Drosophila melanogaster: one gene and its partners. The protein of the gene in region 1 interacts with the protein of each later gene in a pairwise test. Each region holds a gene or a part of one and is shown on either strand. Other genes may lie near its edges.

Region 1 (5,128 bases):
CTACAACGAGCCAACAATGTGCACATGCAGTCGACTCTATGAACCAAGAGATTGGCTTAGAACCCACCAAAGGAATCACTTAAAATGGCAGTACTTTTAGTAATTTCACAAATATTACTATACGTTTATGCAGCAAAAGCGATTGAAGTGAAACATAGCATTCAATTAAATATTTAAATTTACTCATAAATGTAGTTCAAGCTTCTCTTTATTATCATGAAATTATCAACTCAGTACTTAATCTAATCTAACTACTTTGATTGAAAAACAAATAACAACAATTATGCAATTATAACACTGAACTATCTGTCAAACAATTAAGTTGCAAAGCACAAACTTTTAAAATCACTAGTCATTAGAATAATCTCTCAACTAACCGACGTGGTTTTAAGATCGTCTATGGGTCAAGTGGGTTCGTCACTCGATTCTCCCTCCTCCACTGAGTGACCGCCGAGTGACCACCCACCTGGATTTATCGGCACGCCACTGAGCCTATGGAAACACCCATGGCCAAGAGGCGACTCCGAGCCATTGAACCATTTGGAACTATCACTTTTAACGCGCATTACAATGGCACTCGAGGTGGCCCAATTTCGTGGCTTGGAGTGCACTTGATCACCGATTATTGTCTGCTGATTCGAGCCGAATCCATTTAATTTCACTGCTGCCAGATGCCCACGAGATCGAAAACGAAAACGAAATCGAAACTAGAAACTAGAAAATAAAAGGAAAAGGAAAAGCGTCGAAAATTGCTCCCTCGAAGCGAGTGAAAAGATCACGGCCATTGGGAGTGGGAGTGGGTGAGATGTGGAGGAAAGTCAAAGTGAAATGCTTGGAAAGCAAACCAAATTGCCAGTCAGTCACTTAGTCAGTCAGTCAGTCTCTTGGACCACAAACTCACAAACAACAATAGCAATAGGCGATCCAAGGAGGAGGGCGGCCCAGCCACACCCGACTTGGATGTCTGGGTAATCCAATAGCGGCAATTAGAGTGCCGCCCCCGGGGATCCGGAGATCGGGGGATCGAGATCAGAAACGCGGTCACAGTTCCGCAGATCGCCCCAGTGCATTTCCATGCTCCAGTACCAGCTGCAGTGCCATTACCATCAAACCTCCTCCATGGGCAACTCGTCTAACCGGACCTAGACTCCATCTCTCCGAGGAAATGCCTTTGCCATAGCTCCACTTGAACCCATGCACTGGCAAAAGAATTGGTTCTCAATAGAAGATGGAATGTAGAAATGAAGTATGCCTTAACCTTTTCAAGTGAACGATGTACACGTTCTGAATAGACTTTTTTCGCTCAGTGTAAGAGGTAGCAGCGCCGTCCGGTTCGATCGGCTACTCCGTAATCCAATTAAAGGAACAATCTACATTTCAATTCAAAACTAATGAAGTGTAGAGAATTCGCAACAAAGGCTGACATGTGTTGATTGTTTCGACGACTGCAGTGCTGGTATTTGAAAGTCGTGGGTTTCTTCTGACTCCATATAGTCCATACAGACACGTAATACCTGGCTTTTTAAAGCCATTACTAACAAGCTTCCCTGTAGAGCACCCAGAGTTCCAGCTGCACAACTTCCGTCCAGCACAAGCACACATTGTGCGTAGTCCAAACAATTCATTGATTGATTGTCGATATGGCGATCAATTAGACAGATTATGGTTTTCATTGATCGCCATCCAGCAGCAGTAGTGACAAACCCAGGGACAGCTGTCAATGGTCACTTGTATCTACTTCTATATGCACAATATATAAACGCCGACTTCGATTTCGATTTCTATTCTCGGCAGCACACCATTTTGATTCTCCTACTGCTACTGGGACTTGTTCTGTGGACCGATTCCTCGCTGGCCGCCCGTCGCCTGAGGAAGAAGCCCAAGGTCTACAACGCTCTCATCACCACCGACGACAACCTGACCTCCAGCCGCGCCTATCCGGTCATCCAGCCCACCATTCACGAGCCGGGCTACGCCCCCTTTGGACCCTACAATCCCTACGGATTCTACAGTCCGCCGATTGTGAGATTCGGCCAACCGATTGTCCCGGGATTGACGCCAAATGAGAGGGTGAGCTTATGGGTTTCATTAAGTTGCTAACACTGATAAACTTAGCGAAATATTTCGCAAGATTAAATTACTGCTAGCTATAATAAGACAATGATTAATTTAATAATAGGTATCATAAAAAGCTCACTCTAGAAATCTCTGACTAGAGCAATGAACCGCACTCAAAAAAGAAATATAGTAGTTTAAACTATTGAAACCTTAATATTACAGCTCCCTTACCCTCTGCCATCTGCCGCCCAGTATCCCGCTGGCTATGCTCCATATGAACCCCAACAACCGGTGGAGGCGCCAGTGGAGCAGCAGCCGCAGTCGGCGTCGCCACCCGGAACCGTGGAGCGCCAGGAGATGCCCAAGGAGCAGATGCCAGTGCCGTTGAATCAGCAGGGATTGCCGCCCGTGCTGATACCACTGCCCTCCCAGTTCAGAGGCCAACCCATGCACCTGCCACCGTATCCTTACAGCCAGTATCCAGTGATCTATGACCAAGCGGGCTTCATAAGGCAGAACTACTTGCCGCCGTACGACTACTATCCCAGCCAGGGTTATCCCCTGCGGGCAGCCACTTTGCCGCGCGCGGAGCAGGAACAGCCACTGAATCCCGTCCAGAGTCCACCTTCGCCACAGCCACTTCCCCTGGAGAATCTGGAGCCGGCGCAGCCCAGTTTCGAGGACATTCGCAACGGTTCGGAGAGCAAAAACAGCGCGGTGCCGGATGTTCCACCTCCGCCAATACCCTCCGGACCCAAGCGTCCACGGCCCGCGGAACCGGAACCGGAACCGGAAGCGGAACGCAAACCGGAAACGGACAACTGATTGCGGGCTGACCAAAATTCCACACACGTATTTATTACCATTTCGCTTAGGCATAATATCGATTCGATTGTACAATGTCGCCTTAACCCGTAAGCTAAAGTAAGAGTTCATTCAGAGATAACGAATAAAAAACATAAAATCGCACTGGCGGTGATTGAACTTGGATGGATGTTCCCCAGTTCCCCAGGGAAACCAGGGGACGATTTCGCTTTCGTCGGGGAATTGGGAGCCGTTTATCTCAGCTCTGATGGGACTATAAAGGCAGTCGAGTTGCCGGGAAAAGTTACAGTTAACATCGAAAGGGGAACTCAGAATGAAGCTGGCCCTGCTCCTGATCCTCTGCTGTTGCCTCATCGGAATGGGTGAGCTACAACTTTGGTCTTTGGATACCCAATGAATAACAATATCCAATATGCAGCGATTGGTGACTCGGTTTTGGTGACCAAGCCGCCGTTCATTCGCAGTCGCTATAGCTTGCGTTGGAGGAAGACAACCACTGTGGCGCCTGAAGTGGTCACTGGATCCAGTGGATCAACCGTTAACACGGTCACCACCACCGACCATCCCAAGCTGGCCACTTCCACCGCCAGTTCGGATTACGACTATTACGGAAATGGGGAGACGGAGAATGTGGTGCACAAGTAATAGTCATATTCCAGCCATATGACTATATATTAACACTTGATATAATCAGAGCGACTTTAATGTCATAACAATGTAAGAGAAGGCCATTTAATAAATAAACTGTATGTCAAATCTCTAGAAATCAATAAGAAATCCAATAAGAAATCTAAATTCAAATTACGCGGCATTAGACTTTATAACAGTTATGTTGCTAGCAGACGTTGTCAAAACAAGTTGGCAGTTTTTACAGCTCCATGTTAACTCAATGTTAGCTAACATACGACACAAGTCAGCTGTTCCGCGCCGACAGCAACAGCAACAAAAACAGCAGCTAAGAACAAACGAGTTTTGGATCGAAAATGTTGTTAACAATTAAATGCGCTCAGAATGTGATTAAGCCGAACTGCCAGAAAGTGGCCAATCTGCTTGCCAGCAGCCGCAGAGCTGGTTTATTCCCCACAACTGCAACAACAGCAACGAGTAGAAGGTATTCAAAAGGTGGAATGTGCGGAAGGGGAGGGAGGGGCAAAAATACCAAACTTAAATCTGAGCTTTATTTTTCGCGCAGCCTGTCGCAAATCTCAGTTCTGTATTCGCCAGCAGCGAGAGAAGCAGCACGGGCAGCAACTGGTGGCAGTGCGAATCTCCGGAGAATCCACAACACCCCAACCACAGAAGCAACAGCAACCGCAATCACAGCGAAAAAGCGCAAAATGGTGGTAAGTACGAGCCGAAAGTGAGTTTGAGATCAAGGTGAACGGAGTCTCAGCGAAATCGAGTGGTTCCCTTATCGCCTCCAACTGAAATCAATCGACCACCCAAGGACAGGTTTGGACTTTCGGAAAGTGCTTTATGCCCTAACAAATAGAATCACTGTGATTTTGGCCAGAAATGGAGGTTTTTCGCTCACAAATTATTTTGTATATATATCGTATGAATCAATAACACTCACATACTTGTTGCTCGCTGCCCTTTAGGTACGACTAAACGAACAGGAACGCGCCGAGAAGCTGCAGCCCCTCCTGGACGCCGGCTGGACTTTGGTGGAGGGGCGCGACGCCATCTTCAAGCAGTTCGTGCTGAAGGACTTCAACCAGGCCTTCAGCTTCATGACGGGCGTGGCATTGCTGGCCGAGAAGATCAACCACCATCCCGAGTGGTTCAACTGCTACAACAAGGTGGACGTGACCCTGTCCACGCACGACGTGGGCGGTCTCAGTTCGCAGGACATTCGCATGGCCACGCACTTGGAGACCACGGCCAATTTGTTGAAATAAACGCATTGTTATACTAGTTGCTAAATATCTATAATCTTCGGTGTCCAATAAATACTCAGCTTAGCATCGATTTGCTAAAGATTTGGTAGTCGGCTTGTTCCAGGACATCTGGCGAGATCTCGTCCTTGACGTAGCCCAGTTGCTTGAAGAAGGAAATGGAGGCTTCGTTGTTGTTGAGAACGGTCAGCATGACCTTTTCCAGATGCCACAGGCGAGCGCAGTCCTCCAAAGTGCTCATGATGAACTTTCCCAGGCCTTTTCTACGATACTCTGCAGCCACTTGCATTTCGTAACTGAAAGGAAGTTCTACGTAATTAATGCATAAGGGCTTTACTTATGGAATA
Region 2 (6,861 bases), about 25 Mb from region 1:
CGGAACTGGGAGTGGCGGTATGGGGAGGGGGCACCATTTCGGAGCTGCTCGACAGCTCAATCGGCGCCGCTTGGCGGGGTCTTCAACGCCATCGCCTTTGGCGTCGGCGTCTTCATCTTCAATGTCAAAATCCTCGAGTGAGAAGTCAGTGCTTTGTTGACAGATTTATTGCGAGTAAAGTAACCGCGCTGGCGCGAAAAATGTTCATTAAAACGAGCAGCGCAAATGCGTCGTATCCGAGTACAATTGCCTTTTGTTTTGGACATATTAGTCAGTAATTTGGGCAGGTCTGATCACTCATATTTTCGCCATGTCAAGGCAAAGCCCGATCTCAATGCTACTCGCTGGATCGGCCTTTTCCGCCCTATTGCCTGTTTGCTTCCGGGACAACTTGAATTTCGCCTAATTAATTCATTCCGAATTATTTGCATGCAACGCGACTGCAATTCCACGCGGAAATAATTACCATGTGAAAAGCTGTTGACTCTACTAAGGTAGCTACGGAAAGCCTGAAATCAATCGATTTCAATCAATTCTAGCATTAAGTTCCCAACCTGTTTGCTAAGTGTAACGAGGTGTAAGCACATTCTAAACATTTTCTATTGATCTTGCTTGAATTGCATTTACACGAAGTGTGTTAACTAACTTGTTTCTATTAAACCATATTGGCTGATATTTATTTCCCACAATTTGGCCAAACAAACAATGCTTTCAGCATTTTATAAAAACAAGAGTAATCACTTTCATCGAGTTCCTGACTATCAGATACCTATTACCCAGCTAAAGGAAGTCCAGATGAACTTGGCTAGTTCGACTGCCTAGTCTTTGTTCGAATACACATACATATGTACATATATACGGAGGATTGCGAAGGATACATTTTTAAATTGTCTTCGGCTACCTTAGAAATTATCAAAACATAATAGAATTCCGGAAACAAAAAGAAAATAAAGCGTCGAAGATATGCTTTCTATCAAATACATTTCAAGTTCAGGTCTACCCTACAAGTATTGTGTATAATAATTAATTAGGAATTTATAAGGAATGTACCCTAGTCTCGAAAACCATAAGGAATACTTAACCATGGTATTGGACTTATATTTCTGAAACGGAAGTTTCTTATAACGATCAATTTGTGGTGTTCTTCTAAATGTTAGTCTTATTGGGCATATTGCAGCTCCTTTTCGTTTTGCTGTTCGCGCTTCGGCTCACTAATTAAGTCAATTTACTGACAAGCTATTTAACTAATTTCCCGGGGTTTCAAAGACTGCTGTTGTAAACTCTAGTTAGAGTAGAGTAAGTCTAGTTACGCTAGTTACTCCAGTTTGTCGAATCAAATCGGGGAAGTTGAAACTCAAAGCAGAACTAAGGTAATGCAAACCGAAGTGCAAGCTAGGTGATGTCTCAACTTGTTTTAGTGTCATGAACAAGTTGTGAGTATCTTCTGTCTAAAGTGCGGAGATGTGGCTGATAGTGTTGTTGCTTCTGGAATATTTTTAATGCCGTACACGTCGCAGACATAGGCGGACGAAATTCTGTTAATTGTTTTCATTAGTCACTGCAAAACGCTGTCTTCCAATTGACATTATAAGTAGGTACGTGTGCTTATCCCAAGTAAAGTCCCCTAACATCGCTGTGGATGGCAGTTTACGTAGTGACGATGAGAACCGAGAGTCTGATCAGAGCCATTTATGTATATCGTGATCGAATAATCTTTTGATGATTTAAATCTCTTGTTGAATGATGATTAGCTAGGAAGAAGGGGGAGCAATTCTAGTTATAATTCTTGTATTTATAAAACAAGATTTGAATGACATTTTCCAAAATGTGTTTGTCTGCAAAATTTGTTAAAAAAAAGTTTAACTAATTGCCATTTTAGGACTTGAGAAGTGTCATCGTCACTTTAATCCCACATATTTGGAGGTGTTTTTTATAAAGTTTATATACAAAATGTTCGTATTGTACAAACTGGATTGCTACCAGATTAAGATACGAAATCTTGCTTTAATCCAGGAATTGTACGGGTATTGTTATTGGCGCTTAACTGTAATGTAGTAATTGTTTAAAATATTCGAAAACTGCCCAAGACATTTTGGTATTCAAGCGGCGGCCTATCTATCGGTTAGTGGCTTTTATGGTCGGTAGAAGTATATATATGCATATATATGCATATGCATATATATATATATATAATGGGAGTCAGACAAAAGTGTATGCCCTTCTATTTTGTATTTATCAATACATTTAAACCGTTTGTAATGCATTCAATAGCAAACATAATAGCAAACAATAGTATACATATAAAGGTATACTTTCACGTAAATGTAAACGTTTACGGCTCTTTTCCTAACACTTGGCTTCCGCAAATCGCAGTTGTTAGCACGCCCCATTGCGCTATTCGATGTGGAAGCGAGATCCTCTTCTAGACAAACAAACTTTTGTGTTTAAATTATTTATAAGTAGAGAGTAAGCGGTGTGAGCCAGAGCTGCGGCCACGCCGGCGAGCGTTGAGCGATTTAATGTTTGGGTAAGTTTTGGCTGAGGCTTCTTGAGGCTTCTTGAGAGTCGGGCCTCAGATCTCGGATCTGCGATCTCAGGGGATTGGCGTGTAGCCTGTAAATTCGCTGGAAACGCGGCTACGTGCGTGGCATTTGAAGAACGGTGAGCGCGAAAAAAACCCAAATGGTTTGCATATGTAAATACGGAAAGCGAAATCCCAGCTTACTGTTTGAAAGTATTTGCCACCTTAGTGGCATCCGCCGAGGAGCGCCTGAGTGGCTCCAGTCCGGGTAAGAACAATGAGCAAGCCCTTCTGGGCGGTTCAATTTATGATGTCCAATTACAGCCAACGCGGAAGCGATCGTCGATCTGGAGCCATTCACTACCATTATCCCATTATCGATCAGTAAGTCACAAGACCTCGAAAGTCGGTCCCAGAAGCGGTTTTCGTTCGACCACCTCGCCTGACTGGGAAACACTCAAGGAAACTTTTTGCCACGATCAGGATGCCCTGCGACAAGTCCAAGGCCAAAATCGGGTCATTGCAGATCCGGTTTTGTGCGAATCGTTTCCGCACTTGTTTCGAGTTGCCTTGGATTACCATTTTGTATATTTTTAGTGCAAGAAAAACTCTGGCAATTATTCGCGAAGGGCGCACTAATTGCGCTTCTGCTACTTTGGACCCAATGTCAACGGTGAAAAGCTTTACGATGCTGGCTAATTCTTATGCATTATCTCGAGGGGTCAGCAAAACAAAACCTATCGGTATATTGGGAGTCAACAGTCCAGAAACCAGAACAGCTGCTCAAACAGCATACAAATCCGCCCAGCTGTTCGTGGTCTGCCGCTGCGCTGCCAGTCAGGCCAGGGCTAAATCCCGCCGGAATCCCGCCTGCGACCACACGTCGAGGATTCTCCAGAGGTCCTCAGCATCGGATCCTCGCTGGGAATCAAATGCCCCACGCAAGCTGATTTTGTGCAACCGCCAAATGGCAGGGTTGCCACACCATTGGAAACACCGGATCGAACAGCCCGATTGGCCAGTCAAATCGATTAGCTCGGACGATCTGCGCCTTATAGCCGGGCAGATTGGCCAGAGCGGGGAGGTGTTTTGGCGTGGAGAGCGCCGTCCAAAATGCTTATTGTGAACGGACCAAGCGCCGCGCAGTTGCAAAAGAGCGAAAAACAAAAATCACATGTGCGAACAACTTACAGCTTACCACTTGCAAACAGCTCGAAATCCGCAACGGAAGGCGGCCAGCAGCAGCTCGGTTGGTAAATCGCTGGCAACCGAAATCTGAAAACTAAAAACTGCAAAAACCACAACACACAAATTGCGCGGCCCGAACTATTTCACAAAGTGTTGCCAAAGAACTTTGTAAAATGATTACTTTCGCAATAGCTTTTGGCTCTTGGCTTTCGGCTTTCGCACACGGGATCGGTGACTGCGTCTGCGATTAGCGCGCGCTTGACTTCTGAATGAAAACTGAGCCGCGATCGCGCCGCGCGGCTAATTAAACGCGGATCGCGCGACGCCGACGAAGCGGAGGCGCAGGCGCAACCGCGAGCGCCAGCGCAGGGAAGAACGCCACTGGCAGCGCAGCGGCTGCGGTGGAAACGTTACGGTCAGCGGCAAGCACCGACCGAGTGCAGTGCGAAAACTTTCCGCCGCCGAGCGTCAAGTGCAGTGCACGAAGATGGCAAATGGCCTGATTGGCTCTTGGCTATTCCCGGACACCGGGAATGATGCGACTCGATTCAGATCCGGAGATCCCGAACCCAAGACCCAAATCTGAACCCGAACCTTGTTTTTTTTTGTCTGATGTCAGCGGCGCAGGCAAGGTTCAAGTGTGGCTACCGTCGCAATAGCAATCGCACACTGCCAGCGAGTAAATATTACATGGAGTGAACTTCCGAACAGCCCCGATACCTGGCCTTTCACAGCGTTAAATCATCCATGTTAATTACGAGGCGTACGATTCCTGCCCGTGTAGGTGATCTGGCTTATAATCATGGATACGCACAGATATACGGCCTTATTCGAAACTTTGGGCCAACCGTATGACCAACAATTAAGAATTGCTTGGAACATGATGAAAGAGTTTTCGCAAAATATGGGGTGACTTAAGATTTATTGTCTAATTATCCTACAATTATATGTTCCAAATCGATAGTATTTAAGAAAATAGGGGTTTTATTTTTATAGCGGTCGTTACTCGCAGCTTTTGCCTGAATTAATAGTTTTTTTCCAACAGTTTTTTTAATTCTCCAAAGTTCATTCCTTGTAAACGAAATTCGGATACTTGGTAGTAATAATACAATTGATAATTGGTCAGGGTTCAGTGTTTGGTCACAACGCATCAAAGGGCGCGTGCCAAAGTGAGCTGGGAAATAGTTATTATTATCTAACGCTAACACTAGCCTGAAGTGCCGATAGTCTCCGTCGCAGCTCCAGCTCCAAATACGCCGGTGCATTATGATGCATTAAGTTATGTCAACTTGGCTAACATCGCGCCCTGTCCGGCTGATGCGGCAAGAGTCGAGAGCCGACAAGGTCAAGAGGGGCTTAAATATTAGCCTGTACAGCCCAGCTGTCGCCGCCTGTTAGCGGATTTGTTTGCCAAAAATTAGTACGCGTCTATTAAGTACTGGCCCATTTGTACATTAAGTCAGTGGCAATCTGTATTGTTATTTGATTTTTTCGATTGTTTGGTACGTTTCTGCACTTTTGCACAGCCGAGCGTTCAACGATCATCGTAAAAAAAAAAACAAGAGAGATCTTGACGTTTATACGGTCTATTGGTCCTGATGAAGTAATATGTTCTTTATCGAGTCAGAAAAGAACATAAACTGCCTACCTATAGTCTACCCTTTGACTCTACGGGTAATGGGTATTACATTTTAATCTGTTGTTTGAGACAAAACAATTGTGAAAAGCAAATAATCATTTGCAAACGCGTTTTTAATGACATGTAGCACAAATTATGGGCTTAGGTAAAGTATTTCAAAAAATGCTTTTTAAGGGACGAACAAGACGCCCAAAAGGTTCCAATTTAATTTTAACATATGTTTGGTAGTGGGGCTCAGCCAAATTTTTTTTTACTTTTCTCAAAGTCTTGGTATGTAATCGCTTGATCTTTTACGCTAAGATCGGACTACCATAACCGCTTTAAATTTCTTTCTTTTCAACGAATCTACATATATACCCTTTAATTCTGAAAATGACGTCATAGTACTGCAGACGCAAATAAGCTACAGGTGCAAGGCTAACTTCCTTTCTCGTTGCGGTTTAAGTTATAAACGTCGCAAGGAGTTCTTAAATTAAAGTTAAAACTTAGCAACGACGTAGTTCAAAGGACTTTTCTTGTGGAGGGAGACACTAAATATATCCTATAATATAGTGTTATTGGTTTAATAAATATAATATAGTTTTATTTGGAATATTCATGTAATTCATAAAATATTTATGATTTGGTTCACTACTTGGTCGTATAAAGTGGGAAATGTGAAATTTGATTCATGCTCAGCGTAATTCCTAATGCGATTATTTCAAGAGTTCTTTTTTATTAAAAGTTCAAAAGGCACATCAGGTGTTAGGCCTGGTGTATGCAATATTAATTCGGTAGAATTTGTAAATTAATATGTGACTTGTAAATAAAATATTACACTTGACCCATTCTCGGAAATTTTGTTAAGTAAGCAACAGGCATCTGATAGTAAAGGCATTATTTTAAAGCCTTTATTATTTCTAGATTTTCGTGGCTGGCAAGATGCCTTGTATTTCTCTGAAACAATGTCCAATCTCATTAGGGGATAGGCCACATGGGTCAATTGCCACACCCTCAGAGGCTCTAAAGCCTCTAATTATCAGTTATAAGTGGGAATACACTTAATGTGTTCGTTTATTAACAATTACACTGTACACTGGCCCCAGGGATTCAATCCCGTCATGAAAGTTATACACACGTACAAAATATGCGTTAATACAATTGAAATATTTTCTTGAACAGTTTTAATATAAATTAAAAAGCTTTATTTAGGTTTTCTATAGTTTTTGAACTTGTCAGCTTAAGCCACATAATCTAACAACGAAACCATACGCACGGATTAACAGACAGAATTACACTTACAAATAATTTGTCACCAATACTTCTCACTGCGCTGAAAAACCGTTTAACAACTTCAAACCAAAAATGGAAACAAGCGGATATTGAATAGGTAGTAATAAAGTAATATATATGAGCCACACCAAAAAGAGGTTCAATGCAATGCGAAAATAGTTGAAAACTTTTGTTAAGATTCATTTACATTGGTCGGCAACCAACTAATAAACTGATTGTCTTCGTCCTTAAGCCGGTTTGC
Region 3 (8,549 bases), on another chromosome or scaffold:
CCAAAATACTTTTAGACACTGTCTGTCAACCACTAAAGAGATAAGACAAAAATCTTTATACTGATAAGGGGCCAGAAGTACGAGTATTTGTTAGGTGGGGGCCCTAAAAGCAACTAGGACTGATATCAATAGCCTACAGGAACTATAAAAAGCTGTAATCTTTAGATTAGGCATACAGATTACGTCTACGCTGCAAAAGATTGTTTCAAATCGTTGCCACGCCCACAACTGTTACATACATATTTTTGAAAAATTAAAAATGCTTTATGTCCTGAGATCGAGTTGTTCGAAAGGACAGACATATACTTGTATGCAATGAAAACGTTTTCTTCTTCCCGTTACTTATTTTTGAAAGAAGTATACCGTTTACTTTTGGAGTAACAGGTATACTGATTAATCGTTCAATTTAATATACTACTACATCCTTTACTGTACAACATGGTGTACATCCTCTTGGATCACTTGTGGAAACGACGACTCGAACCCACTGCCAAATCGACCACGTCGTTGTTGACAGGGGACTTTGCACCTCTTGACTTCCGGCACATCGGCGTAGTCAGCTGGGGGCAGTATTCATTTAGAGCCACTGCCTTATGGGGCTACTGTCCTGCTCAGTCGCCGGTCTGCTTTCTTGCTGGTTGCAGCAGTTGCAGTTGCAGTTCTCTTTCTGCAGATAAATGCCCACATAGTAATCCCTGGGATTCGCCCCCAGCACCTTGAAACCAACGGGCCATGCCCAGGGGCCTTCAATTATTATATTCGATCAGCAAAGCCATAATCAGTGGGAGCAGGTTGAAAAACTACAACCGAAGTCGGGTTTCGCGAGCGAACTCTCAAGCGGCATAAGCACCCAGTTTTAAGAAGCGATGATCCTATTCCGATCCTGATCCGACAAGCTCCCGCAGCCGTTCCTGGGACTTTTGGATGCGAAATCAGCAGTTTGAAGGTCCTCGATACATTTTGGGGAAAAGTGGTAGGTTTTGCAATTGTGCAGAGCTAAACTTTGCGAATTACTAAATCAATGTTTTCTGCTCTCATTTCTTAAAACGTACAATATTATTTCCTACGATATACTATATTAGTATTTAAATTATGTTTCTCATTCTCTAGCACCAATTATTCTATTGCTTTACCTATTCCATATTAATCAGTTGAGCTAATCTTACGGTATAGATTAGATTCCCACATATTTAATTTAATAAATTTGCAACAGCAAATACTTGTTTTTTAATTGTTTTTTTTATTTTCACATCTACTGGCATGCCAAGGTCATCGGCGGCCTTTCGCACTTTGTTTGGCGGACATTCCAAACTGGTTAGCGGTAGAAAGCCATATTTCCCATTTGAATTTACTAGTAGGCGGGCGACAACATGGGCTCCCCAGCCAAACCGCGGAGCACATTATGGGCAGCAATGGTGGACATGTCGGCACGGGTGCGCTTCGTGGCGGATCCAATATGGGGCAGGACAACTAAAAGAACACATCAAGTGGTTAGTTCAAGATACGATTACACAAACCAAGATAACAATGTTTTAATAAATCAACAAAAGAAGGGAATTATAGAGGTCAACAAGGACGCAGAAATTAGATAAAACATGGAAAGAATAAACGTTACCCTATTTATTTGTAACCTTCAAGAAACCTTAAAGATTCCATTAATTTCAAAATACTTTTAGTCATTGTCAACCACTGAAGAGATAAGTCAAAATCTTTATATTGATAAGGGGCCAGAAATACGAGTATTTGCTAGGTGTGGGCCTGAGGACTGATATCAATAAACTACAACATTATTTTCATTTTCCCACTCACCAACATTGTCAAGCGTCAGCAGCTTGTCCTTGGGCGACAATGGTTCCGGATCCGTGACGTCGAGTCCGGCGGAAAAGATTCGGTTGGCTTTCAAAGCCTCGTAGAGGTCATCCTGGTTGACGATTTCTGAGGAATAAAATAAATAGTTAAAATCGGTCGAGAATCCCAATTAATACTGGTAACTTACTGCCCCTGGCAATGTTAACCAGCACAGCAGTCTGCTTCATCTTGTTGAAGGCGGTGGCATTAAAGACGCCCTGTGTGTCCTTCGTCAAAGGAGAAGCGATCACTACGAAGTCACTCTCGGCCAGAAGGGTATCGAAGTCAACTTTCTTGGCATTGAACTCCTCCTCGATCTCCTTGTGAACACGACGACGGGTGGTGTACAGCACCTTGTCAATGTCGAATCCAGACAAACGCTTGGCAATAGCCTGACCAATGCCTCCAAAGCCGTAGAATCCCACGGTGGAATCACGAATATCCTGGCCCAACAGCCAGTTAAGATGGTAGTTTTCCCACTTGTCACTTTTAGAACGCAAAAGATACAAATTAAGAAATTGAAAGATATATGAATATTTCCAAAATATATAATATACTTGTAGATACTCGAGATACTGATAAATGCCTGTTACTAAGCTAAGATGAAGATAAAAAAAACTTTTTTTTATTGCACCGCCACCTAGCGGCGGTTACATAAACTGCTCGTACCTTTTGTTTGTAGATAAATCGAAAGTCAATACTTTAGAATTTTACATTATGCATGTGAGGAGCCAAAACCTATTGATGATAATGCTTTGTCCACTTGTGAGCGCTATAGAGCAAAAGTGCAAGCGACAGACGAGCGGACAGGCGGTATTCTTAAGAACCGGCTTGCAATTTTAATCGAGAATTCATGCGTATACATTTCACGGCCACACTAAGTTGAAAATAAAGTGTCCCTAGTTTAGCTTAATTATAATAATAATTATGACAATTATAATTTCGGTTTACTCTATTTTTGTCATTGCTCAAATTAATTCTGTAAGTATATGAATCATCACAAACACAACTAACCAACTAGTGGTACTCACTTGTCGATGGTCTTGCGACCCTCGTGAAAACGGCGACTGGCGGCGATCAGGAGACCCACTGCCAAATCGGCCACGGCGGTGTTGAGAACGGTGGGCGTGTGTCCCAGCGGGATCTTACGTCTCTTTACCTCCGGCACATCGACGTAGTCGATTCCCGCCGACATGGTGGAGATGGATTTCAGCTGGGGACCGGCAGCATCGAGGGCCTCGGCATTGAGGGGTTCGTGTCCACCCCAGAGAACGCCATCCACGCCACGGATTTTCTCCAGCAGCTCCGCCCGGTTGATGGGAACACTCTGCACCTGGACGATCTCGCAGTTCTCCTTCAGCAGATCAATGCCCTCCTGGGGAACCTCGGGATGTGTCACCAGGACCTTGAAAGCCTTGCCAGCGGACATGGTGCGATTCTGGCTTTGATTTCTGCTGCCCCTGCGTGGGAGGGAGGCATTACTACCGGCGATCAGCAAGGCCACAATCAGTGGCAGCAGGGAGTTGGTGGCAATCGATCTCATCTCGAAGTATTGCGATCGAAGTCGTGTTTCGCGAGCGACTGAACTCTCAAGCGGCATACGCACCCAGCTTTAAGGAGCGGCGAGAACGGAAAGCCGCTGATCCGACTGCTCCGACCCACGATCGCAGCCGATAAACCAATGAACCTGTTTAGCATTATAATCCGCGCTCTAAATCTCTCCCTATATATGTATGTACGTATGTATGTATGTCTGTAGGCGTTCAAGCCGCCGAGCAGCTGATGTGAGTCTCAGTCTCTCCTACGGCGTATGTATAAGACGCACAACTGGTTTGCTGGTTCGAGAACTAAGGTATAATATTGGAGTTTTATCGAAGTGGATTCAATAATCAGGAACGGTGCAAGATTATTTCTGGGTTAATAACAATAACATTTGGCAAAAATAAACATTCTAAAATTAAGTTTAATTTTACTTAACATGTGGAGCGTAATGAAAAAATTACGAAACATAGATGAATTTATCAAAGACTAAGAGCCAATTATTTTGGCTAAAAAACAGAGACAATTATTTCAGTGGAAATACGATTATATACTGCGGTCAATAATTTCGAGTAGCTAAAATACATCTATCTCCCATGTTTTTTAAAGTACTTAAATTTCGCGGTTATACGGTCGCTATCTCCGCACAGACGCACGAGATTTTTATGGCGAAATTCCGCGAGCAAAAACTTTCAGATATGTTCGCATCTAATCATTTTTCCACGACTCATTCCACTCAACACTTTTGACAATTTGATGGTTTTTTAGCATTGTTTGTTTGTTTGTGGGAGGGAATGGAAAAACCCACAGTAATATTTTGATATTAATTACACTCAATGTCACCAAAGAACAAACCGTCACTCTTAAAAACTCTCTTAACCAAACTGTTTACGACACCAAATGTCACAAGAGAACTACTTTATTATATTATTATTAATTTGTTCTTTACACTATGCTACACTCTGCCTCCAAACGCACCCGACGTGAAAATTTAACTAAAACTTTTTTCCATTGGCTATGCAATAAAAGCTCGCAATCCGATTTCATTTTTATGTTCTCTTATTTAGACTTTATACTTTCTCTTACCGTGAGATCTATAGAACTAGAATACTTTTCAGCTTTGCGTTTGCCGCACGACTGAAGTATTGGCCCCAAAGCTTAAGCCTTATATAGAACTCATATCGTATCGCAAATGAATTATCAATTCCCAAAAAAGAGTTAATACGAGAGTAATTTTCAACATATTAATTCGGTTTACATTTTATGGAATGGTGCACAGATATTTTTGAAGTCAATTGTATAAATTCGTTAAAATAAAATAACATATATGAAATATTTAAAACAATATGCGATCTAACAAACTTTTATTATCGTAAAAATACACCCCTTAAAGGCCGGAAACTCACTAAAATCTCAGTTAAAAATGTAGTTCACTCTTTAACATAATATTGGGGTTATATCAACCAGATTCCAGTACTATCAGCGATCAGCGATTCCCCCTCCGATTAGACCATCATTGGGCATCCCTTTCTGTCGTTGCACACTGCGCTTTGCCGCTACCATCAGTCCGTCCCTTTCCAGCTGCTTATCTCGAAAGGCTCCTTATCGGTGCGAACGAGACAGAGACGGAACTCTTTGGGAGAGTGAGCAGTTGGGAAAGCTGTGCGCCTGCTCGAAATACCAGTTGGGGACTTTTCCCATGTGCTCGCATGCAATTTCCAACTGGAATGGGCACCACCGCAGTTGGAGCCACCGGAGCAGTGGAGCCATTTGGCCATTTAGCCGTGGTGCCATGGAGCCAAAGCACTGCAGTCGGTTGGAACGTGGAACCTACACGACCAGCACTATTTCGCAGTTAAGTACGTTTTTTTGTGAGCGGATCTGCTCAAATTTTGTCCGCAGAACAGCAGGCGCACAGCGTTGGCCAACGCACACTGCGCTTTTTCGTCTGTGTGAAAGCGGCGGCAAGAACCGTTCGCGTTGGCGTTAGCGTCGCTGGCAGTGATGCGCGAATTAACTAGCTAGAACTTCCGACAAAAGGCACAGAAACTTAAAACAAAATACTAAATTACTTTACGTCTACGTGTAAGGAGTAATCAAATATTTTACTGGTTAGAACTGAATATATTCATAGACATGATAATACATATACATATTTATAAGATATTCCAAATGTTAAAAACAATAAAATTATTGATATTGTTACTATACGAAAATTGACTAATCTAAATTTTACTGATTTACGATTTAAGTATAGAACTATTTTAACATAGTTTTAACCATAATACCGCTCTAGTGAAATATCGAAACGGACAGTTTGGCTTTTTGTTTGCCTAGATTGGCTTCACTGAAAGTTGTGCACTTCCTCTTACCTTTGAGATTTGGCCCAGACACTGCACTCTGCCTAATTGAAAGCGAAACGAAAAACCAACAAAATATTAGCGCTTTGTGCGAGGGTGGATTTTTTTGTTGTCGTGACGCGGCGCAGCGTCTGTGCCTGCTTTTTCTTCGTCCCCCACAACGGTTTACACATTTTCTTCGTGCCTTGTTCTTTTGTTTCGCGGCCATTGTGCAGCAGAGTGCCGCACATTGGTGCTCTTCTCGCTTTTATGCTTTCCTGTTACCAAAACACGATGCGTCATTTTGACTGACGTAACCGGAGACAACATTCCAATTGGAGACAGCTGTCTATCAGACGCGACCGTCGTCGTCGTTACGTCTGCTGCCGCCGGCATTGCCAGCGCTAAACTGCGGTTTGGTGAACAAGTAATCAGCAACTGATGACAGCAGACAGACGCCAACGAGAGTGTGTGCGGCGGACAGAGAAGAGAAAATGCGGAGAGATAGAGATAGTGGAGGCGGACAGTGAAAGACGGGGTATAACGGAAAAAATGGAATTTGAGAAGCGCATCTCTCGATCTCTCCACTGAACATATGAAAATACAATGTACATATGTACATATGTATGTAAATAATATTTATAAGTTGGGATATTAGAAAGCCTAACACTAGGTCTTCGTTTTAGGCTAATAAATTACTACAGTTTCGATATAATCGGAAACTGAAAATGAAAACGTTTACTTAGTTCAGTTCCCAACTAAGAACAAAGTGGGCATACTTTTAGGCACTTCTAAGCACTATTCCTGATAATGCTTAATGCAATAAAAGTTAATGTGTCACCAAAAATACACATTGTAGTACTTGTTCACATTTCTTAAAAAGTAATTTACAAACATTTTAACTTAGAACTTAGAACCTTGCTAATTGCATTCACAAGGTAAGATTGGGATTGCCTTCGCACAGCACTCAGCGGGTTAAAGTCAACTGTCAAGGGCAAGTTGCAGACACCTAAGCAGCATCCACAAACATATCCGTACTGCTTGCGCCGCATTCTGCTTGCTTCATATTTGGCGACACCAGCAGCGGGAATCGCAAATGGCGGCCGAGCGACAAAGCTGCAAAGCGAGGCGTCGCGCACTCCGCGCAGGCGCTTTTGGAGCGCCCAACTCCACTCAACGGCCTGTCGAGAAGGCCAAGATGAAAAAAAAGTGGGACGTGCCGGGCCACAAAAAAAGTGGCCAACCGTCACCGATTTTTATGGTGTAGGCTCCCTAAAATTGACGCGCAACATTGAGGCAGGTCCCTCTACGCGATATAACGGAACAGGCGCCCAGAGTCGCCAGCAGCGAGATAACCCGACGGAAGACAAAAAGCGAGAGCGAGCTGTGTCTGTGTGTCTGCGCGTGTGGTGGTGGGCCCCAAGTCGATGGCGGTGCCTACACACGGCACAGCTCTATGAATATAACGAGCACGAGAGCGGGAGCGGGAGTGAGCTCCACCACGAGCTCTAGAAGAGAGAGAGACAAGTAGAGTTGGTGAGCGTGGGAGTTGATGTGCACTTGCATATGTGCAAGTACAGTGCGTCCTCTGTAACAGTAAGCACTAAACTGAAAAGAGACTAGCAAACTAGTAAAGTACCACTGTAGTCATTCCCCAGATTTCAGTTGCTCATGGAAGTGTGTACTTGTGTATATACATATATACCAACATACTTAGGTAGCTAATCCAGCTCTGTTGGCTTTGTAATGATGTTAACATTGACTGACGTCAGGCACGGGTCTTAATTTACATGTCTCTGCTGCTTGGTTTTTGTGTTGCAGCAGTCCCCGTTGCTTACCACACATGATAATTATGGGAATGCAAGTGTTTTGTTTTCGCTGCACTTGCTTGCGGTTAAGAATTGGGAACACGTCCAGGGTCACTGCAGAGGGGTGGGGGGGGGTGGGGTGTTAAATTGACCCATGCTCGCGGCATATGTACATACATATGTATGTTTCTTAAGCTCAAACAAAAAACCTGTTTTTGCGTTGGGCACCTTTTTATTCGATTTGGTGGAAGTCTAGACCATATTGTGTTTCAATGTTTATATTTTACTATGGGGCTTCGCACTCAATCTTGATTATTCTTATTTCACTGAAGAAAGTATTGTCCACAATTTTGATGTACGCTACACACGATAGTTGTGATGCTAGGTATTTCTGGTATTTAAAAATGTAATGCAGAGCACTGCATAGTTTGTCGGTCAAAAGCGTGCAATGAGTAGATTTGATTGCATTCCTGATAAAATACAATGTAATGTTAGTCCGTATTGGATCTATAACTTTTACCAAATGCTATATAAGGCCGGAACAATAATTGCTTGGCACACAACAATGTTTGCTACTCTGCTGATTCTCATCTTGGGGTCGACTGACATTTTGGCCACAGACTATATACTACTGGTCGAGGATCCAGACATCTACACGCCGTGCACGGATGGTCCTCCTGGTTCTGTTGGTCTCAATGAAGCCTTCGACGTAAGCGAAATGCAGGTTGAAATGGACGAAGAAGGGATTCATGTGTCCGGAAATATTACAACTAGATGGAGTTTGCCGCCCACCTATCGAATTTCTGTACGTTTATTCGGCCCTAGCCCTATGGGTTTCGAAACAATAACTTTATTGTTTTTTAGGCTAGGATGAGTGTGCTCCACTTTAACCGCGGCAACTGGGAGCCGACCGTATTTAACACTCTGACGCCGGACTTCTGCGACGCAATGTTCAATCCGAATCTGTTTTGGTATAAATACTGGTTCAAAAATTTTGAAAACCGCGAGGAGATCC
Region 4 (9,717 bases), about 14 Mb from region 1:
AGTATTTAATCAAAGAGGTCACAGTGGCGCCCTCAGCATTTGCTTATTGAGATGGTGAACTAATGGAAATTGCCTACTATCAGTTGTGCTTAGTGTGCGTCCACCTTTTGGTTGAAATAAGCAACTATACAATGTAGTATCATCGCCACCTTTGGCTGTTATTTTGAACTATACACAGCTGACCGCTAACGTCCTCTTTTGGCCTATGATTGAACTAGATAGTTTCTTTTGTATTCCGCAAGGGACAATATGCGGCGAATTCACTCCGTGTGGCGAATTCAATCTCCAAAAGCGGATTTATACACCAAAATTAATAAATAATAATAAAAAAACATTTTTTTTATATACTTGCGAGTAGCATTTCAAGTCAATATATAAAATAAGAAATAATGTTGATATGCGATATTTCGTATTAAAAACTATCGCGATAAAAGTTTACATATCGTAAATATCATCGATACATCGATATTTTATTAATACAATCAAGATGCAACACACAAGGCGCATGGTAAGTAATATTATTAAAAAGCCGGTAAATTGCAAAATACAATGAACAAACATGTTATTTTTTTTAGCTGAATCCTCTGTTGACCGGCCTGCGAAATTTGCCGGCACGCGGGGCAACAACAACAACGGCAGCGGCTCCCGCCAAAGTTGAAAAAAGTGAGTATTTCTTAGGTTTAGTTATGAAATTGAATTAATTTTGAATAAATAACCACAGCTGTCAACACGGTGACCATTTTGGGACGAGTTGGCGCCGATCCGCAGCTGCGTGGATCCCAGGAGCATCCGGTGGTCACCTTTTCGGTTGCTACACACACCAACTACAAGTAAGTGCATTTGTGTGCGTTTTGCCGCCCAGCATGCGTCTGCAACTGAACTTGAAATCACATCTCAGAGGAGGGAAATAAAAAAGCTACATAAATGTTGACAATTAAGTTAGTTCTTAGCCTTAACCTCCAAGAAAATATCACGTTGAGCTGCTAATTCAGATTTATGTAATGAGTTATTAGAACATTTGCTGTATGTAATTACCTAATGATAACGGCAATAGTGTACATTTCCTTGTTCAATTAACTTCAGTGATCAATTTCTTCTTAGGATCCATGAAATGCCGGATTTCATAAAGAAAATAGCTACCATTTCATTTAAAAAGCATTCATGAAGTCTTAAATATTTCCCCACAGATATGAGAACGGCGACTGGGCCCAACGCACCGACTGGCATCGTGTAGTGGTGTTCAAGCCCAATCTGCGTGACACCGTGCTGGAATACTTGAAGAAGGGACAGCGAACCATGGTGCAGGGAAAGATCACCTATGGAGAGATCACCGACCAGCAGGGCAACCAGAAGACTAGCACCAGTATCATAGCCGACGATGTGTTGTTTTTCCGTGATGCCAACAACTAAAATTTAAGCCCAGATCACCAAACCTAATCTTAAGCGAAAAGTTGAACTTGCAGCATTGTAAGCATTTATAATATTCGTTGGATATATTGTGTTATCAGATTACATGCGTAGTCGTACTCCACATGTGTCTTTTGGTTTTAACTCCTTGACCTTTTTGCATGGGAACGGTGCGTTGAATTGGCGTGCATGTTCGTTATAAAGCTGCTCGAACTCCTTTTGAACTTGTGTGACCTGGCTCTTCAATTTTTCGATATTTTTTTCCATAGACTCCAGTGTATTATTGTGGTAATCGATAAGCTTGGTTACCTGTTGATACACTCACTTTAGAAACTCTAAATACAACTTTTAGTCATCATTTCATACCAAATTTACGGAAGGTACTTTTGCGGATATCTGCTCATTATACGTCGCGACCTCCTCTTTGATCTGATTGCAATGATCGACTGTTTTTTTCGAAGACATCAGCATACTCAGCAAATCCTGATATGTGGTACTTGCCAAAGGAAACACTTGGCCTGCCAGACTCTCAGGACTCGGATAGCTCTGCTCCAATTTCGTAACTGCTTTCTCCGCCTGTATAAGGTTAATCTCGTTTTCATGCAGCTCCATTTCTACCCTAAGCATGGTGCACTTTACTGATCTCAGGGTATCATCGATGGGAAGTGCCTGTTGGAGTATGAAAAATTTATATCCTGTTTGCCTATGGCCATTGAGTCTCACATTTTTGGCATTGTCTAGGCAAATTTGTTCCTGTTCCTTAAGAAATTTTAACTTGGTATTGAAATCTGATTCCATTTCAAGGCTGTCCTGCATTAAAATATCCGCCAGCATATCCAAGTACAGGAATGTCGACGGATCTGATAAGTTTGGCTCACACATAATTTTAAAATTAACTTTAAATGAATTTTATGTATTTTTTGTATGTGTTTTTGTGACTTATGTTTTGTTTGTCACTGAGTGTTAGGCAAATCAAAGCTTGCTAAGGTATGAGTTTTCTGATCGTATTCTAATCTAAGGGATCCTTGCCAAGAGGCATCATTTATTTTCATACATCAAGGATTATAATGGTGATTACAGTTTTTGAAGCTCTTACCCTCGAGCAGAGTTTGCTCTTTAGTTCCCAACTTTGGAGACCTCCACAAGCTCTCTTCGCTCGCGAGCTTGGAGCGACCTTATCGCCATTTACCACTCAGTTTTCTCGCTGAGCGACACAGTTCGCAGTTAGTTTTTGCCAGTTCAAATGCTGCCGGCGGTCGGAAGAGTTGATAGCTGATCGAGCGCTCCGTTTGCGATTTTGTTTCACTCGAGCACGTTGTTTATCCCGGATTCGTTTTGCATCTTCGCGACCCGTAACTATCAGCAGTGCTGCACTGGTGTGCCATTCATACATGCTCCACTTCTGCAGAAGATGACGATTTGTTAAGAAGCAATAGCAAACAGTTACTTTCATTTATTTTTGATTATCAATAAAAAATCAAACATGGCTGTGGATTATGTACTGGAGGACCTGATGGGGAAACTTGGTGAGTGGAATGGGCTTTTGGGAGCGAAGACTTTTGAAAGGTCAGCTGTTACGTTGCCAGGCGTCTCCATCCCGTGCTGATAAGAGCCTGGCGTTATGCTTATCATTTTGAGAGGTCTTATCAGCGTTGCAAGCTACTATGGATAATATTTTGTTTCACGACGACCAATGAGGTTTACCGCCCAACCTTCTGTTCTGCTTTTAAAATCTATAATTAATTTTTCCGTATTATGCTTTTAATCTCCGCCTAATCTATCCGGCTGGCTGTCCGTCACGTCAAGTGCTCAAAAGAAGCCGACTATAATACTTTTTTAATTGCAACTATTTTCATTTTCATTTTGCACTATTCTTAATTTAATAAATCGTCGAGGCCACCAAGTGACAGACATTTATGACAGCTTGATAGAGACTCCGACCTGTTGCTCCCCTTTTGACTATATACCATACCAAGTATGTATTTATGTACACATATAGTCGACACATGTTCGTGTGGGCCAAGTTCTGAGCTGGAGGCTGTCTGACACTTGTTGAGCCTACTTGGCTTTAGCACAGTGACGCTAAAACGAGTGTGGCGGCTAACAGGCAAACAAAAATAAAACGGGTGCAAAAGGGGCGGTATCTGTCACAAGACTGTGAAGTAGGCTCGTCATAAAGATCTTGGGATCTACGGATATCTGGGTATTTGCTTATAATTTATTATATACTCTAATTGTGCGGTTCAAACATTGCAGCTAGCTTGTGGAAGCTACAAAATTAAGCGTGTTTATATGCAGTATGCAAAATAGTTAAGATTAATTGTGGGAATACAGTGGAAGATCGATGGATAAACAGTTTTATTTGTCACGGCTACAAATTAGAAATTTATGAGTCACATAAAATATGAGTTGGAATATAAAATTTGTGTCAACGATTGTGCTGAAATTGTCGTTAATTAAAATAGAACAGTTTTTTACAATCCGAAACTGGTTTTGTATTAAGCATTCGCAAAACCGCAGCCTATAAGAAAGTGACAGGAGAGAGGGAGTAATAATCGCATTAGCGACTTTTTTATTCGTAATATATTCGCATACATTTGTATCTGTGAAATGCAAAAAACCTTAAACTGGTTTGCTCACATTCAACTATATGGCAATACCTCCCTCAGCCATCAAAATTCACATATCGCTCTTTTATTTCTGTTTACTTTGTTGAAGGCCTATTGGCGAGCAGCAACTCTAATTACTTCGAATTTGGAGGCGTGTTGCATTGCTGAGTTGGTTGTTATTTGTACGTAAGAAGGTTACCATAAAACCAGCAACTTAAAATGACTTTGAGAGCACTTCCACACGTGCTATGTGGAGAGCACAGAACAGAACTAAATCGACCTTCAGTTGTTAGTAAACGCGGGAAGTGAAAATGTTGAAGTACGGATGAACAAAAACCGAAGGAAGCCTTAAAGTGGAGGTGTAAAACCATGATCTACCTCAATTATTCGAATCATGATACTTAAGCACAAAGGAAATTTTAAAAGCTTTGAAGAAATCAACTCTGAAATAAAGCAACAGTTGATAGTAGAATAACAGTAGATTAATATACATGTGCAATATTGTTAGAAATATGACTGCATTATTTTTTAATATTCCGTGTTCTTATCCATCTCACTTATCGCTCAAAAAGTTTGCCCAGAATAAACAACGGTCCAAACCTGCGCCATATTCATTTTAATGTGCAAACTGTTGGTTTTGTACATCATAATAGATGGCTTACGATTAAGAGAACAACAAACATTGACAGGGCCAAAAACAAATGTCGTATTCAAGGGCCACTTGGCAACAATTATACGGCTAGTTATATTGGACGGATGCAATAAATCTGAAGCAACAATATCACTGATATATGATCTAGCATTTGGTGGCCTCTGATAATCCGCTATGAGTTCCACATTAGTATTTACTATTACGAGTTTAGTTATCACAAATTTGGCCAATCGATTTCCTAGATTGTGCTCAATTATACGCTGATTATGTCTATTGGGGGCGTAATTGAATTTCATTAGGCGTAGAGTCAAATTTTATAATTGAGATTAATTAAGTCAACCCGATGACATAATTTTACACTTCACGCAATCGTTTTAATAATGAAAAATGAAAATTCTCAGACGTTTTACTCATGATTTGTCGATTGCAACGTAACCGGGGTGAACGTAACTTTTCATTTGATGGCAAGAGTTTCGTTTAAACGATCAATAAACGTAACCCACAAATCAATTGAAACGGCTGATTGAACATTGGACCGTGATCAAGTGTCAAATTCTCGTATCTAGGCTACATACTGTCCATGTCGTTAGAAATTTACACAGCCCCTGGCCTCCCATCAACGCGATCGCCATGGACTGACTGACCAGCCAAGTCATAATCGATTCAGTGCATTCTCCCAAGACATCCGAGTCTCTTTTCATGGCGTTCGAAACCAAAACCAAACCAAACCAAACTGTGGGCAAATATTTGACGGGCTAGGCGAATGCGCTTCAATTGAAATCGAATTGAATAAATTCCACTTGATTTAATTGCAAAGCCTTTGGAGTGACGACAATTCCAGCGATACCCATTAAAAGTTCCCATCTACATAAAAGTCGGCTGTTTCTTTGGGTTGTGTTTTTATCGCAGCTACGTGATGTTCAAATTCAAATACTGAAATAAAAAACCGTTTTAAATAATTTGAGCTAGAACAACTTCCGTTTTCAGCTCAACTTACTTTCTTTTTATTATATTTAATCGTAAACTGGGTGATTCATGGGTGCTACAGATTATCACTATCTATCATGTTGCTGAAAGCTCACATTTGTTGTGCGCTCATAACCTTTCCCAAGACATTAATGATTGTGAAATGTCTTTCTATTTTTTTCTATCCAATTGCAGGGGAGTTTGGAAAGTACCAGTTCCTGCAGTTCTTCCTGCAGGTGCTCTCCGGCCTGACCGCTGGCATGCACATGCTATCGCTGGTCACGGTGGCCGCCGTGCCTGAGCATCGCTGCTTCATCGAGGGCGTGGATAACAGCAGCTTGTCGGTGACACCATGGAACTCGAGCGCTATCCTGGCCGCCATTCCGCTGAAGCCCAATGGCGAGCTAGAGTCCTGCCTCATGTTCGATCCCAGTAGTCCTGGCACCAATACCACCATCAATTGCGAACGTTACGTATACGACACGACGTACTACAAGACTTCGCGCACCATCGACTGGAACTTTGTGTGCGATCGCCGCTGGATGGGAGCCATTGTGCAGACCGTGTTCATGCTGGGCGTGTTCACAGGCGCAGTCACCCTTGGCGGACTCGCCGACAAAGTGGGTCGGAAAACCGTGTTCTGCTGGTCGGCCCTGTTCCAATTGATCATCGGTGTGGGTGTGGCCTTCATTCCCGAGTACTTCTCATTCATGGTGGCTCGCTACCTGCTGGGCATTGTGGGATCAGCGGGTGCCTACATCTGTGGGTTCGTGCTGACCATGGAACTGGTGGGACCTACCAAGCGTACTGTGTGCGGCATTACCTTCCAGGTGAGGAAGACTTCAATAGATTTTGCATTTTTTAAACTGGCTATACCATGCAATACTTTTAGGCTGTTTTCGCTGGTGGCATCATGTTGGTGGCCGGATGGGGAGCACTCATCCCTGACCGCCAGTGGCTCCAAGTGATCTACGGACTGCATGGCTGTCTGTTCCTGGGCCACTGGTGGTGGCTCGATGAATCTCCGCGCTGGCTGTGGATGCAGGGACGTGCCGCCGAGGCGGTGGATATTGTGGCCAAGGGCCTGAGAATCAACGGATCGGGCATCCCGGTGGACAAGGAGTACTATGTGCAGAAAGCCAAACAGCAGGCGGCGGCCGAAGAAAAATCCAGCGCCGGATTGAGCGACCTCTTCCGCACGCCCAACTTGAGGATGAAGACTTTGAACGTGTGCCTCTGCTGGTTCGCCAATTCTCTGGTTTATTACGGACTATCGCTCAGTGCCGGCAAGCTGTATGGAAATCCCTACCTGATCCTGTTCATCATGGGCCTCGTGGAGTTCCCCAGCTACATAACCATTGTGTTCGTCCTAGATCGCCTGGGTCGTCGATCGATCACCTCCACCCTGATGTTGGGTGGCGGTCTATGCTGCATTGTGGCCGCCTACATTGCCCAGGGCAGCACCACCTCCACGGCGGTGGTAATGGCAGGAAAGCTCCTCATCGCCGGTTCCTTTGCCGTAATCTACAATTACTCAGCCGAACTGTTTCCCACCGTGGTGCGGAACTCGGCCATGGGATTGGGATCGATGTGTGCCCGTTTGTCGGGAGCCCTTACTCCGCTCATTACATTGCTGGACTCATTTGATCCGAAGATACCGGCCGTGCTGTTCGGCGTGGTGGCCCTGATCTCGGGCTTCTGGGTTATGTTCCTGCCGGAGACAATGAACCAGCCCATGCCCGAGTCCATTGAGGATGGAGAGAACTTCGGAAAGGGAGATACTTGGTTCAGTCAGTGTGCTGGTCGCAAAAAGCGCCAGAATAGCGTATATCCCGACGATCCGGAGCAAATGGTGCCGCTCAAGAACATCGAGAGCAAGTAGAACCTAGCCAAAGACGATTGTTTCCCAAGTCCAAAATCCAGCTTAAATTCCTTGTTACCCTGTGTTTTCTTGTTAAGAATTCTACTCTTCTGCCTAGTAGTAAGATTTAATAGTTTCTATTCATTCCAAGCGAATAAAACGATGTGCAGAATATGGGGAATCCTAATTTGTGGATTCACTCATTTCTGAGTGTCCCTTTGTTGTTTGTACGGATTTTTTCTTTTAATTTTTTCGGTGGTAAAATTTAGTTTAAAGGAAATTTAAATGCTTGACGAGCATTTTTACTGATTAGTGTTGTCTACTTTTAGGCTCTATCAATTTAGGCGCAGATTCATAGCTTGAATTTCAATTTTCTCTACGGTAAAACCAGTACACACCAAAAAATTATTTCCCAACTATTTCCAATTAAAGTTTATTCTCCGACCGACACAGCCAATTCGGGTTCGTCTGGCCTTGCAAAGTTTCAGTAATTTCCACTCAATTGCACTATCGAATTGCCAATTGCCGACAGGGATTTCCAATGTCAAATCCATAACCCATCGCTTCCCTTTGCTCCACATGATGTTTAACCCGCCAATTAAAGTTTGTTTAAAGAGAGAGTTTTGGTTTTTCGGTTTTTGTTTCTTGTTTGGTAATTCTTCATTTTGTTTTGTTTGGTACATTTGAGAACATTCATTTCGAATTTGAATATATTTTCAATTTAAATTTTAACTACACGTAGGCATATAGATTTATAAACGTATGTATGTGTATGCCGATATCTGATGCGATATCGTTACACGATTTCGCTGGCTTAGAATTACATTAACATTTACATAGATATAGTAGCTTTATATCTGGGATTTCGGATCGCGGTTCTCGGTAGCGCCTCTGTCAGCGATTTCCCGTCGAAGGTACACAGAGATATATGTAGATATTGTTAGCAGGTATTTGCGATGGCTTAACATCAATATTCTTACACATAGACACACTCAAATCGCGAGATAAACACATCTAGATGCGGTTGTTAGCCAATGAACTTGTATCAGAAGCCAACTGGGGTAAATGCTACGCTTGAAGGAAGGGTGGGAAAGTATGTCGGGTATGGGAGTTCGAGTGCCTATTAATACAAACATACGAACGTAGCTAAATATATGTATGTGTAAATTAATCACAATTGAATCGGAAAATATTTACAAAAAATACTCAATCGAAGCCCCAACCATCCGCAGAGCATGAGTCCCAACCCGTTGTCCCGATCGTTTGGTTTTACAACTCAGGTTTTCAGCTTTAGTTTCGTCACCACCTTATGATTATGCCCGTTCCGGGCACTTGGTCTGGACAATTGGCGCCTTCACCTGCAGTCCCGGCCCGGTCTCCGCCAGCATGGCCGTGTGCACAATAATGGCCGGCTGGTCCTCGCTCTGAGGATGCAGCTCGTGCGACTCGCCGGGTGTGAGGCTAGCCAACGCGGCCAAAAGATCATGGTTGACCAGTGGCTCGCCTTCCTCGCGCGGCTCCCAGCCGGCTGGCGGCGAAGCGGGCGGGGAGATGAGGAACTGTTTGACCGGCGCCGGTGGCTGCAGGTTCTTGTTGCTGACCGGTGTCACCGGCTGGGCAAAGTAGCAGGTGATAACCGTCTTCTTGTTAAACTCGTACTGGTGCAGCTTGATTCGCGCATTTGCCGCCGCAATGGCATTGTCATAGTTAACACGCAGGCGACGGAAGCTGCGCAGCCACTGGAACGTAGCCGATTCGCTGAATGTGCGGAATAACTCCTCCATGGCGTGCTTCAGCTCTGGATTGGCAAACACCTCGGAGTGGATGTTGGTCACGATGATTGAGGTGGGTAGGTCGTCGAACGAGTCTGCATCCACCTCCGGCTCTGTGTCGCTATCCACGTCTCCCTCCTTTGGGAGCGACGGATGCTGATTGGGCAGGCCGTCGGCGGCGTTGATGAAAATGTCCTGGTCCGGCGACAGCTTGTCTATGCTGCCGCCTCCACTGCTGTTCTGTGTCGACTTCAGTTTGTTCTTGCTTCTGCCGTTGGCGCTGTTGTTGTTGTTGTGATTGCCACGCGGAGTTGTCGGAGTGGCTGCATTGGCCGCGTCAGCTTCGCCAGTGGCGTCAGGAGTGGTCGGATCAGGTGCATCGGCGGACGCATTGTTGTTGGACTTGGCCGCGTCGGACATGGCTGGCTGAAAAGGAAATGAAAGCTACTT

Evidence for each region.
Region 2: the proteins of CG34296 (region 1) and CG31522 interact in a two-hybrid assay, tested with the Drosophila melanogaster proteins (one large-scale study listed by BioGRID).
Region 3: the proteins of CG34296 (region 1) and CG9331 interact in a two-hybrid assay, tested with the Drosophila melanogaster proteins (one large-scale study listed by BioGRID).
Region 4: the proteins of CG34296 (region 1) and CG6126 interact in a two-hybrid assay, tested with the Drosophila melanogaster proteins (one large-scale study listed by BioGRID).

The regions. Positions count from the first base shown.
Region 1 is NT_033777.3:29,719,363-29,724,490, forward strand, and holds CG34296 (uncharacterized protein), read left to right. Parts: upstream 1-3,175; 5' UTR 3,176-3,196; coding exon 3,197-3,245; intron 3,246-3,301; coding exon 3,302-3,528; 3' UTR 3,529-3,651; downstream 3,652-5,128. Other genes in the region: CG15506 (uncharacterized protein), read left to right, coding at 1,795-2,070, 2,281-2,883; Pcd (pterin-4a-carbinolamine dehydratase), read left to right, coding at 3,867-3,994, 4,076-4,226, 4,485-4,784; Naa40 (N(alpha)-acetyltransferase 40), read right to left, coding at 4,840-5,077.
Region 2 is NT_033777.3:4,458,908-4,465,768, forward strand, and holds the start of CG31522 (uncharacterized protein), read right to left. Parts: upstream 3,977-6,861; 5' UTR 3,720-3,976; exon of another isoform or gene 3,713-3,719; intron 1-3,712.
Region 3 is NT_033779.5:20,820,418-20,828,966, reverse strand, and holds CG9331 (uncharacterized protein), read right to left. Parts: upstream 5,326-8,549; 5' UTR 4,852-5,325; intron 4,534-4,851; exon of another isoform or gene 4,243-4,533; intron 3,696-4,242; 5' UTR 3,547-3,695; coding exon 3,455-3,546; exon of another isoform or gene 3,392-3,454; coding exon of another isoform or gene 3,300-3,391; coding exon 2,880-3,299; intron 2,335-2,879; coding exon 1,997-2,334; intron 1,936-1,996; coding exon 1,810-1,935; intron 1,471-1,809; coding exon 1,352-1,470; 3' UTR 1,243-1,351; downstream 1-1,242. Other genes in the region: CheB38c (chemosensory protein B 38c), read left to right, coding at 8,100-8,339, 8,399-8,549.
Region 4 is NT_033777.3:16,196,007-16,205,723, reverse strand, and holds CG6126 (uncharacterized protein), read left to right. Parts: upstream 1-2,640; 5' UTR 2,641-2,890; coding exon 2,891-2,933; intron 2,934-5,829; coding exon 5,830-6,464; intron 6,465-6,526; coding exon 6,527-7,516; 3' UTR 7,517-7,724; downstream 7,725-9,717. Other genes in the region: mtSSB (mitochondrial single stranded DNA-binding protein), read left to right, coding at 488-508, 576-663, 722-830, 1,188-1,410; CG31287 (uncharacterized protein), read right to left, coding at 1,510-1,716, 1,774-2,076, 2,131-2,289; sra (sarah), read right to left, coding at 8,809-9,687.